2 separate regions of the Mus musculus genome follow, and region 1 is reported to be linked to region 2. Evidence: microRNA targets listed by miRTarBase, many of them from high-throughput screens and not tested one by one. Region 2 holds a microRNA gene; the other region holds the end of a gene's coding sequence.
Evidence for each region. The annotated mature microRNA mmu-miR-1190 reads UCAGCUGAGGUUCCCCUCUGUC and lies in region 2 at 1,884-1,905, opposite strand. An mRNA with a match to its seed (bases 2 to 7 or 8) in the 3' UTR can be bound and repressed. Matches are read on the target gene's strand: a 7mer-m8 pairs with bases 2 to 8, a 7mer-A1 pairs with bases 2 to 7 and ends in A, and an 8mer does both.

Region 1 (5,377 bases), not on the chromosome of region 2:
GTCTCTGGGCGTCTCTGGTGTGTCTCTGGTGCGTCTCTGGTGCGTCTCTGGGCGTTTCTGGTGCGTCTCTGGTGCGTCTCTGGTGCGTCTCTGGGCGTTTCTGGTGCGTCTCTGGGCGTCTCTGGTGCGTCTCTGGTGCGTCTCTGGGCGTCTCTGGTGCGTCTCTGGGCGTCTCTGGGCGTTTCTGGTGCGTCTCTGGTGCGTCTCTGGGCGTCTCTGGGCGTCTCTGGTGCGTCTCTGGGCGTCTCTGGTGCGTCTCTGGTGCGTCTCTGGTGCGTCTCTGGGCGTCTGTGGTGCGTCTCTGGGCGTCTCTGGGCGTCTCTGGTGCGTCTCTGGTGCGTCTCTGGAATCGTAAGCACTTCAGAGCAGCTGATTTCTTTCTCAAGGACGCCTTTGCTTCCTGCACTGGGGCTTTTTCTGGTAATTTGTATTTTCCTTCAGCCAGCACATTATTGATCTTTCTTTCTTTCTTTCTTTTTCTTTCTTTCTTTCTTTCTTTTTCTTTCTTTCTTTCTCTTTCTTTCTTTCTTTCTTTCTTTCTTTCTTTCTTCCTTCCTTCCTTCCTTCCTTCCTTCCTTCCTTCCTTCCTTCCTTCCTTCCTTCCTTTCTTTCTTTCTTTCTTTTTCGAGACAGGGTTTCTCTGTGTAGCCCTAGCTGTCCTGGAACTCACTCTGTAGACCAGGCTGGCCTCGAACTCAGAAATCCGCCTGCCTCTGCCTCCCAAGTGCTGGGATTAAAGGTGTGTACCAACACCGTCCGGCTGATGTTTCTTTCTTATGGGTTGAATCTGAAATGTGCTCACCCTACCCCAGGCTTCGTTTTGAAAGCTTGTTCCCCAATTGGTGGTGCCTTATTATTTTTTTTTATTTTTATTTTCCTGAGGCCCTGGGAGCTTTAGGTGTGGTGTGAGGAACGGAAGAGCTAGTTGTTGAAAACCGGTCATTGTGGGCCTTTGAAATGGTCCTAGATCCTATTGGACTCTCAGCTCTCTGATCTGCGGTGATGTGAACAGTCTCCGCCACAGGCCCCCCTGCAGCCATGAGCTGTCCAGTCTCACTCTATCATCTCCATTACGACGGCTGAAATCTACCAACAAAGAACTTGTCCCTCCCTTATGATGTTTCTGCCGGGACACAGAAGTGTGGAGACACTCCTGGTCCCCCTTGCTCTGTGTCTGAAGTGTGCCGTTTCTTTGTTTGTGTGTGTGGCTTCCTTTGGTCCCAGCTTCAGTGAGTCACATGCTCCTTTAACCCTGAGCTTGTGTCCAGCCGTGTATGCCACCCAGAGAAAGCACACATTGCTGTTCTCAGGGCCGAGAATGCCAACTTAGGCCTGTCCTTCCGGGTCTGGGACTCGGTTTGTCCTTTGCATCTGTGTGTGTCAGTGCCCCGAAGCAATGTTTTTTTGAATGCTTTTTACTTAGAATTTGAAATAGGCTTTGGATATTTTTTAATTAACAAGGCACAGACTTGGGGCTATATTCATTATTTAGACCAGAATTTATGTTGTACTTGATGCAAAAATCAGGCATTGCTTGTTCAGGGTAATTGTGTACAGTGCAATAAACCCAGTTTATGTAAAGTATTATTGAAGGAATAGCCAAGTTCCACAGTAAGCCTGCTAAATCATTCATTCAGGAATAGATTCACGTTTCCCCAGGTCTGGATCATGTGTTTTGACAGGTTTTAAAGCAAAGCAAAGCAGCAATTATTTCAAGGTGATGGTGGAAGCCAGGACTGAGAGAAATCCCTGACAACGGGTCTGTAGTCAATGACTGTTCTCTCTTAAACAGTTGAATTTACAGGTCATAGGTCACAGAATCGTTTCAGTTCATGTCTCGACTTGGCAACCTTGGATTTTTTTTTCATTAAAAGATAAATAAATAAAATGTCAATAATATCGCTTACTTTAAATCTATTTTTTTAATGTTGTTTAAACTTTGTTTTATAATTAAAATTCTATTGCTGTACACTAGATGTACAGCAAACATCTAGGTAGTGTTTTAAAGATGGGACCTCAGGTAGCCCAGCCTAGCCTTGAACTTGCTATGTGGCCGAAGATGACCTTGAACTTCTAATCTCTCTGCCTTGCCTCCAGAGTGCTGGTATTACAGACTTACAATGCCTTGCGTTTTGATCTCCTCTTTCAGGTATGTGTGTCGTGTGCACACATATTTCTGCAGGCCCTTGTGCCTGTGTGGGCGCGTGAGTTGGCCACAGTGTACCTTGGCTCTTTTCCTCTACTGTTTTTCTTGTCATTTTCTTTTGACTCCAGGTCTCTCACTGTCTTAGGGTTTCAGTGCTGTGAGCAGACACCATGACCAAGGCAACTCTTACAAGGACAACATTTAGTTGGGGCTGGCTTACAGGTTCAGAGGTTCAGTCCATTATCATCAAGGTGGGAACATGGCTGAATCCAGGCAGGCAGGGTGCAGGAGGAGCTGAGAGTTCTGACAGCTAGGAGGAGGGTCTTAAAGTCCACACCCACAATGATACCCCTACTCCAACAGGGCCACACCTTCTAATAGAGCCATTCCCTGGGCAGAGCATATATGAACCATAACACTCACTGAACCTGGAGCTCATCAGTTGGTTACACTGGCTAGCCGGTGATCCTCCTGTCTCTACCTCCCACTGCTGGGATTACAGGTGTGCGCACAGACTTTACATCCATGCTGGGGAGTCTAACTCTGGTCATTACGCTTTCTCAACACTGCCTGCTGAGCCACCGCCCCAGCACTGACAGCCGAGAGACTAAGTCCAAGAATCTAATGCCTTGGAGGTATTTGTTTTTCTTTCGTATTTCTGGTTAATGTACAAATCCCTCTGATGTGAAAACTATAAATCTAGATTATTTCTTCTGCTCTATACTTAAGAATTATAGAATTCACAGAGGTGACTGTGATATGATCAACAGTTAATCACCACCACACTTAACATCAGAAGCATTCCAGAGGTCACGAAAGGAGAAATGCCACACCTTTACGGATTTAATTTTTCTAGGTTGCAAATACATTGTTCTTGAGTTTTTATTTGGTTGTTTCAGGAGACATACAGCTGAAAAAACAAAACACAGTCACACAAAAATGCTACTGAGAGAATTCAGATATCTACTTGGCCCACAGGGGACAGACGCAGTGGCTTCTACCACAGGAACAAAGGAGGGATTTTTCTCCCTTTCAAGACTGCAGGCATCATTTGCCCTGGGATAAGCCACTGGGCATGACTATTTTGGACACTACTGGTAGGGATGTCAGTGATGGTCTCAAACAGAAGCATGCCAGAGAACCTCAGCCTGGAAAGAACAGATGCATCTCACAAGAGCCCAGGTTCAGTACCACTGCTCCCTGCAAGGTCTCTGATGCATCTCCCTGGATCAGCACCCCACTTGGCCAACTTACGACTTTCTACCCTTTGCCTCTACCATGTGTGTGATCAGGTTAGTGGGTATTTTTGAAATGCAGGTCGGGGTTTCTACCTGGCTAAAACCCCTTTAGTTTTCTGTTGAAATGATTCTCAGCTTTATAATTTTGCCACCAAACACTCTAAACTAAAACACTTCTTCAGGGCAGGCAGGTTTCGTGTGCACACCTTTAGTCCTAGTTCTTGGGAGGCAGAGGCAGGCAGATCTTTGTGAGTTTTAGGCTAGCCTGGTCTACATAGTGATATTTATAAAGATATTTATGTCCCTTTTAAAACCAAATAAGTAGCGGTATTTTTGCTTATGATGTTTATGCAATTAAATGAAGTTCAGTACAAGAACTCATTTAAAGCCATGCTTGAGAAAAATAGGGCATAGAAAGGTAGACATTTCAAAGCTGAACAAAAATCTAGGTTCTCTCTATGAATTTCTAAATATAGTCTGGTTGACCAGGAAAACAGATATATTTGTGAATGAACTGCAAATTAAAGGAAAACTTCAATAGAACAAGTACAAGTTTAAGTTAATGTAAAGAAAACATAATTATTGATAAAACAGTATACATTAAGAGAAATTTTAACTCTCTGTATTTTCAAAACTGTGCAAAAATTGCTTGTAGTGTCCTCAAATGGTCTGGCCAGTGACATAGAAGTCCGTTGCCTTTAAATGGTATGTAGTGAAGAGATGTGGCCTGCTATTGAACTAGCTGCAATCTGGCTGGGCTGTAGCTTTCAAACAGCTGGTGCGGATGTGGGAGACCTGCAGTACCGGGAGCAGCAGCTGGAGGGCGTCCTGCACATATGTGGTGCTATTGGAGCCCTGCAAGAAGGAAAACAGAGCTGAGGGTATTTTCATAGTTCAGTTTCGATGGCTGTCACCATATAGCAACATTCTTATTCTCTCTCCTCTCTCTCTCCTCTCTCTCTCTCTTTCTCTTGTATATATATATATATATATATATATATATATGCTCTGCCTTAATGTACACAAGTAGAGGAATCAGATCCCGTTACAGATGGTTGTGAGCCACCATATGGTTGCTGGGAATTGAACTCTGGTCCTCTGGAAGAGCAGCCAGTGCTCTTAACTGCTGAGCCATCTCTCCAGCCCTAACAACATCCTTTTCCTCCGAGGAGAAGGAAGCACAACAATATCATAGAATTCTCAGAATGTCTGCACTTGCAGTAAATGTAAGCACATGTTTTTGGATGGAGTGTGCCCAGATCTCAACTATGTGAGCTAACAAAAGGCCCTCATTCAAATTGAGACAAATCATTTCCATGGGCTTTTAAGGGACATGAGTATGTGTAGACTCATGGCCCCGCATGGCCAGTATTATCTATCCCTTTCTCAGGTCAACCCTGTGGTCCTGAAATCACAGGACAGAGGCTAGGGTCTAAACCACAACCATTTACAGAAAGCTCCACATAGAGTGCCCTGGAGAGATCACTGTAAAAGTGGCCAGTGAAGTTTAGGGAGGGTATCTAGAATGGGTATTGGCCAGCGGCTTATTATTGGGTGCCATATTTGTGGTGCACAAGTATGTTAAATTAATGTGCTAATGTACATGTTTAATCTGGCAGCCATGACAGAGATCTGGGGTGGGAGACTAAGAAGTGAGACTGAAACTCACTATATAGTTTGTGTTGGCCTTGAACTCACCATCCTCCTGCCTCTGCCTTCCAGGGTTTCTACTAGCTGTGTCTGTTCCACTGGGCTTGTCCCTACAGTTCCTGCCCCTTATGGTTGAGTCCATTGCAAGACTGTGTCCTAAGCAATGATACTCGCTGCCACCACTTGATTAGGTTTGGTCCATGGACAGCTTTGCTTAACAATGAGACACAGTTCCCAGCAACGTTGCCACCAGTTCTGAGGTTATGTAATCTCTCCAGAGCTTACTCTTGCCATCCAAATGTGAAGGCAATGGCATTGGGCCTTGCCCTTGACCCATAGCTGC
Region 2 (5,377 bases):
TCTACGGCTTCTAGAGGTTAAAGGTCACACAAAGCAGAACTGGAAATGTAGCTCGGTCAGTACGATTGCCTAGCTAGGTCGACGGCAGCCCTTCCAGAGCACGGAGCTTGGGGGCTGCAGAGATAGCACAGCCATTAGGAGCACCAGCTCTGGCAGAGGACCCCAGTTCAATTCCCAGCACCCAAATGCTAACTCACAACGCTCTGTGACTTCACTTCGGCACCAGGCACGTATGTGATGCTTAGTCATACACGCAGGCAAGACAGCCATACATGGAAATAACACTTTTTAAAGGTATTTAAAAAACAAACAAACAAACAAACCCACCCTTTGCCCCACCACTGGGGTGACCCCTCTCCCTCCTGGCCGCCTCAGACAATGGAACATGCAAGAGCTGCTTCTTGCTTGGCTGGTTTTGAAGGGCAGTCTCACTGTGAGGCCTATGCTGTCCCCAAACTCTCTGTCTAGCCCAAGCCGGCACCAAGGCTGCTACCTCTCTAGCACTGAGATCACAAGCGTACACCACTGTGCCTGGCTAGGAACGGTAAGTGGGTCATTTCACCCCATTTTCTGGGCTACTTGCCAACAAGGGAAGCTGGAGAGTGGTTCCTTCGGAAAATGCCCATTGAAAACCCTCAAAAATAAGCTATAGTGTTTCATTGGAAGGGAAAAAGGCAGGATGTACAGTTATACGTATGGCATGCCCATAACAGCACAAAACAAAACCCATTCACTCAACCACCGGTAGGAAACACTACATGAGATGGGCAATTGTCCCCAGAGAGCTGAGCGCCACCTGCCTTCATGGCCCTTGTTTTTCAAGCTGTTTATACAGGCCAAGTAGTCTTCTAATATACGAACTGAATTTCTGCTCCCCCTAAATCAGAAGGAACAGACAGAACACTGTGCACAATGACGTGCCAGCCACTAATGCACACACATTGTAGCAGCTCTTTCCAAACTGGCGAGATGAGGGGGACAGTGACTGTCGCTCCCTGCAAGTGCTTGTGTGCACTGTGCTTAGCTGGGGCTAGACAGCGACCAGTGCCATCCCCACTCTCAAAGAGCTAAAAGAATGGAAAATGACAAGATCATCAGGTCCTCTTCCCCACCCCCAAGTCCTTCGGGGTCACCCAGTCCCTCCTTTGTGAGATAATTTCCCACTTGGAACTCGGCAGCAAACACCTCTCAGCGGTACACTGTCTCCAGTGGGTGATGAGGCCTTTCACCAAGCCCAGACCTGGTCCCTTACAGCTGCTAATCACCGGCAGCAGGGGACCCTCTGGGCCTTGGGGCCAAAGGTCAACCTGTTCCTCAGTAGCCACAGACTTAGTTGAGACAGGGTTTCGATCTGGGATCTAAGGCTCATCAATGAGGCTAGGCTGGCCACCAGTGAGTCTTAGGGATCCTCCATCTCTGCTGCCCCAGTTCTGGGGCTACAAGTGCCCACCGCCACGTCTGGATTCTTTTAAACATGGAGCGTGGGGATCAAACTCAGGTCTTCATGCTTGCACACCAAGTTATTTTACCAAATGTGCTAATCTAGGCCCCATTCTTTCTGTTTTGCATATGATGCATCTGTGGTAAGCTTGTATGTGTATGTGTGTTCTCATGTGTGGGAGTGTGTGCGTACAGGTGTGTCTGTGCATGTGCCATGGCCACACTTTTATGGTGTGTGTACACTTATACTGCTTACCTCCCCTGATGGGAGGACAGACATAATCATAACAGAATACCCTTCCCTCTCCCAACCCATTTCAAATCCAGACTGCAGAGAAGACAAGGGCCCTGCAACACTCATAGCCCTAGGCAGGGCCTGGGCCCAGTGCAGACCCAAGTCACAGGCAGTAGTAGTCTCTCAGCTGACTCAAGGCAGCATCCCAGACAGAGGGGAACCTCAGCTGACGGGGGAAGCATCAGGCCAGCAGAGACCTTCCCACGTCTGCAAAGGCCCCAGAGCTCACCAACACTCTCAGAGTGTCAGCCATGCTGACCCACCCGTACAGCTGGTCAAACACATCGAGCAGTGTGAAGTGGATCCTTCCCTCTGTAAACCCAGATTCCAGCAGGTCTGGAAACACAATGGTTCCATTCTTGGCCCCTGTAGCCTTTTTGTGGCTCTCTCTCTCTCTCTCCTCGAGTGGCTTTTGCACAAGAGCCACTAAGCCAGAGACATGGATCATGCACGTCTTCCAGAGAGTCCCCAAGTAAAACACAGAGAACAGGCTGTGAACCCAGGGCCTCCAGCCCTCATGGCATTCAGAATGAACCAATCAACGACGCAAGCCCCTTCCCCCTCTGAACTGACACACCCCAAGGCTAATGAAAAGCACCAAGGGCCACTTACTCTGGCTTCCTGTGGCAACCCACTCAAGGGGCCTCTGTACACCCACTTGAGGGACGTCTGCACACATGTGGAAACCCACTTAAAGGCCCCATCGCAGACGTGCAGGGACCCCTCCCTGGGCCAGCAAAGCAGCCTCACCTGGTAGTAGGTCTTGATGTTTCTCACCAGGATACTCAGGTTTTGGATGCGCAGGTTGACATCATTGTTGACATGCTTGTTGATGCGCTGATTGCTGGGCCTGGGGTCTCTAGATTAAGAAACAGAGTAAAATTCACACCTCAGGGCATTCACTGTACCTCCTTCCCCAGCAGGGGACCAGTGTTCAGTTTCGAGAGCCTCTTTACTCCCTTGATAACCATGAGGCTGTGACTCTGTAGTTCAAGTCAACGCCTAAGTCTGCCCACAGCTGTGCCAGACAAGTCACCTGTCACCTCTGCCGCCTCACTCAGGGCTCTGCCGCAGCACGCAGCCCTTTTCAATACTGTTCCCATTTCCACTGGTGGAAGCGCCAGGTGGGACACCCAAGTGTCGTCAATGCTGTGAAAACTGACATACAGATATATAAAAACCACTAACCTATCCTAAACTGTATCTTACCACTAAAAAGACAGGCAAAGAAACATATGTGAAATACCAAGAAAAGGATGGGCTGGAGAGATGGCTCAGCAGCTAAGAGCACCAGCTACTACTCTTCCAAGGGTCCTGGGTTCCATCCCAGCACCCACATGGCAGTCACAACCGACTGTAACTGTCATCCCATGGGATACCCTTTTTCCTAGTGTGCAAGCATATATGTAGACAAAACACCCATATACATAAAATAAATAAATAGATCTTTTTTAAAACGGAAAGAAAGAAAAATACAAAACAAGGGCCCTAGCCTGTTTGGTGACCTTCAGAGTCATGTTCCACTCAGTACAGGCCTTCCTGCCATCTGGATTAGGTTGGTCCTGCTCATGATCTACACTCCATGGATGCAATAGTGTCTTGACAGGCTGATGTCCAGGTCTAGGATAGGACTGGTGTGCCAGCAAATCGCACAAGAAAAGCTGAGTGTGGGAACGCCTCGAGCATCCTTTTCCAACCTCAGGTGAGACTGGGAAAAGGAACTAGCCCTCAGCTCAAGCCATGTACAGCCTGGCTCATCTACATGCAGGCCAGTTCCCGCAAATCCTCAGTGTGGGAAACGGCTGCCAAGAAGAGCAAAGTGGAGAGGGGAGCTCTGCTTTTCATAGCAAAGGCCTCCCTTCCATTCCACCCGCTCGCTCCCAAGGCACCACCACGGATAAAGGCAGGGAACTCAAAGCCCTTCTTCCCGGTTTTATCTATCAAAAGCCCTGTGATGATGAAGGCACAGCGCCTACTCGGAGCTGATGGGGAGCCATAGAAATAAATCTCAGGCCTCATTAACAGAAGATGGAGAAATAGAAGGGAAAGGCTCACACCTTGAACCATTTCGAATGTCACTGGAAGAACAACACAAGGCTCTTTTGTGATGCAAGCTGTTTAACAGTCAACCTTTGAGTAAATATTTGACATATGCTCTAGAGGCTCCGCACAGTGTCCGAAGCGTCTGAACCGTCTTCCCACAGCCCCTGACCTCTCACACTCATCTCACTGCCCCTCAAACAGCCACATCAGGCGACAACATTGTCCCCACTGCATGTTGGAGTCTGTCAAAACCGTATTTACATGTTCGTTTTCTTTTAGAGCCCTTTGTTACTAAGGAAATAAAGGTGAAGAACACTCCGGAAATCAACTTAGCAAAGAGGCAGCAGCACTCTGCATCTCAACTGTAAAGGCATTTGGCCACAGAAGTCTTCCTAGCATGACCAAGACAGGGGTTCCATGAAGGGACCCGCTGTGAGCAGAGCAGCGGTTTCACGGGGCCTAAGCCTAGCACATGAATCTGAGTGAAGCTGCAGGCTTTCCTAACTTACCGTTCTTGTTTTGGGGAAGTGGGGGGAATGAACCTGGGCTGCATGGATGCTGGGCAAGCACTCGCCACCGGCTACATCCCTAACCTTTTCTTTTTCTCTTCCTTCTTTTTACTTCTGAGACAGAGTCTCCTTAGGTGGCCCAGCTGGCCTTCAGCTTACAATGCTCCTCATGCCTAACTTTTAAAGTAACAGGATTGCAGGTGTTAGGAGACCCAACTGTTCCATCGTTATTTAAATCCTGGGTTTCTTTTCTCTTTGAGACAGAGTTTTATGTAGCCCAGGCTGCCTCAAACTTACTATATAACCGAGGACGGCCCTGCGCATCTCACCTTCCTGCCTCTCCTTCCTACCAGGATTCCAAGAGTGAACCCACCCACCCCGGCTATGTGTAATGCCAGGAATTGAACCCAGCGCTTTGAGAATAATACTAGGCATCCACCTGACTAACGGAGCCACACCTGCTGCTTCTAGATTTCATCTTCTCCAGAGGGGCCCCTGCAGGAGTATCAGGTACCCACCACATCAGTGTGCACCATGGACAGACACCTATTGGCAAAGGCTCTGCACATACCCGGGACCTGGGATGTGCAAGCCATATCTGCTTTTGTTTTCCCCAGGCATGGGAAGAAACAGCTAATTGAAGGAACACTGGAAAAGAACCCTGACATTAGTTTAGTTATATGACTAATTAGACTAATTATCATGATCATTAGTATTCCCTCAGTTAATAAGTCTCTCGGGGTAAAGAGCGTTTATTAGGAAATAAAACCAAAAGTTTTAGCCTTGCTTAAGGAAGGCAAACCTCATGTCTGCCTACTCAATGCCCCACACAGGCTGCTAGAAATGAGGGTCAGAGGCCCGGGGGTCACAAGGGTCTGAATAAGCCACAGGCTGACGGGAATTTGCCAAGTCAGCAGACAGAGCTCCTAGTCCACTGAGGCTCCTTCACGAGTGCAGATGCACACTACCATGATTATACAGATACACACATGACCCAGCCCTGCCTCACTCAGACTACACTAATGACACCCAGACTTTAATATGCACGATCTTGCTTGGTCCTCCCTTCATCTACAAAATTCTACCCCCT

Region 1: the mRNA of Fam114a1 is a reported target of mmu-miR-1190. Seed matches in the 3' UTR shown: 7mer-m8 at 3,054-3,060.

What each region holds. Positions count from the first base shown.
Region 1 is chr5:65,039,486-65,044,862 of GRCm38, reverse strand. Fam114a1 (family with sequence similarity 114, member A1) reads right to left here. Exons shown (of 14, transcript NM_026667.3): 14 at 2,962-4,239. The coding sequence ends at 4,123. Among named protein-coding and RNA genes, the nearest start is that of Gm32374, 22 kb to the right of the region's middle.
Region 2 is chr12:101,019,809-101,025,185 of GRCm38, forward strand. Mir1190 (microRNA 1190) reads right to left here and starts at 1,960; the gene lies at 1,865-1,960. Ccdc88c (coiled-coil domain containing 88C) reads right to left here. Exons shown (of 30, transcript NM_026681.5): 3 at 2,486-2,594.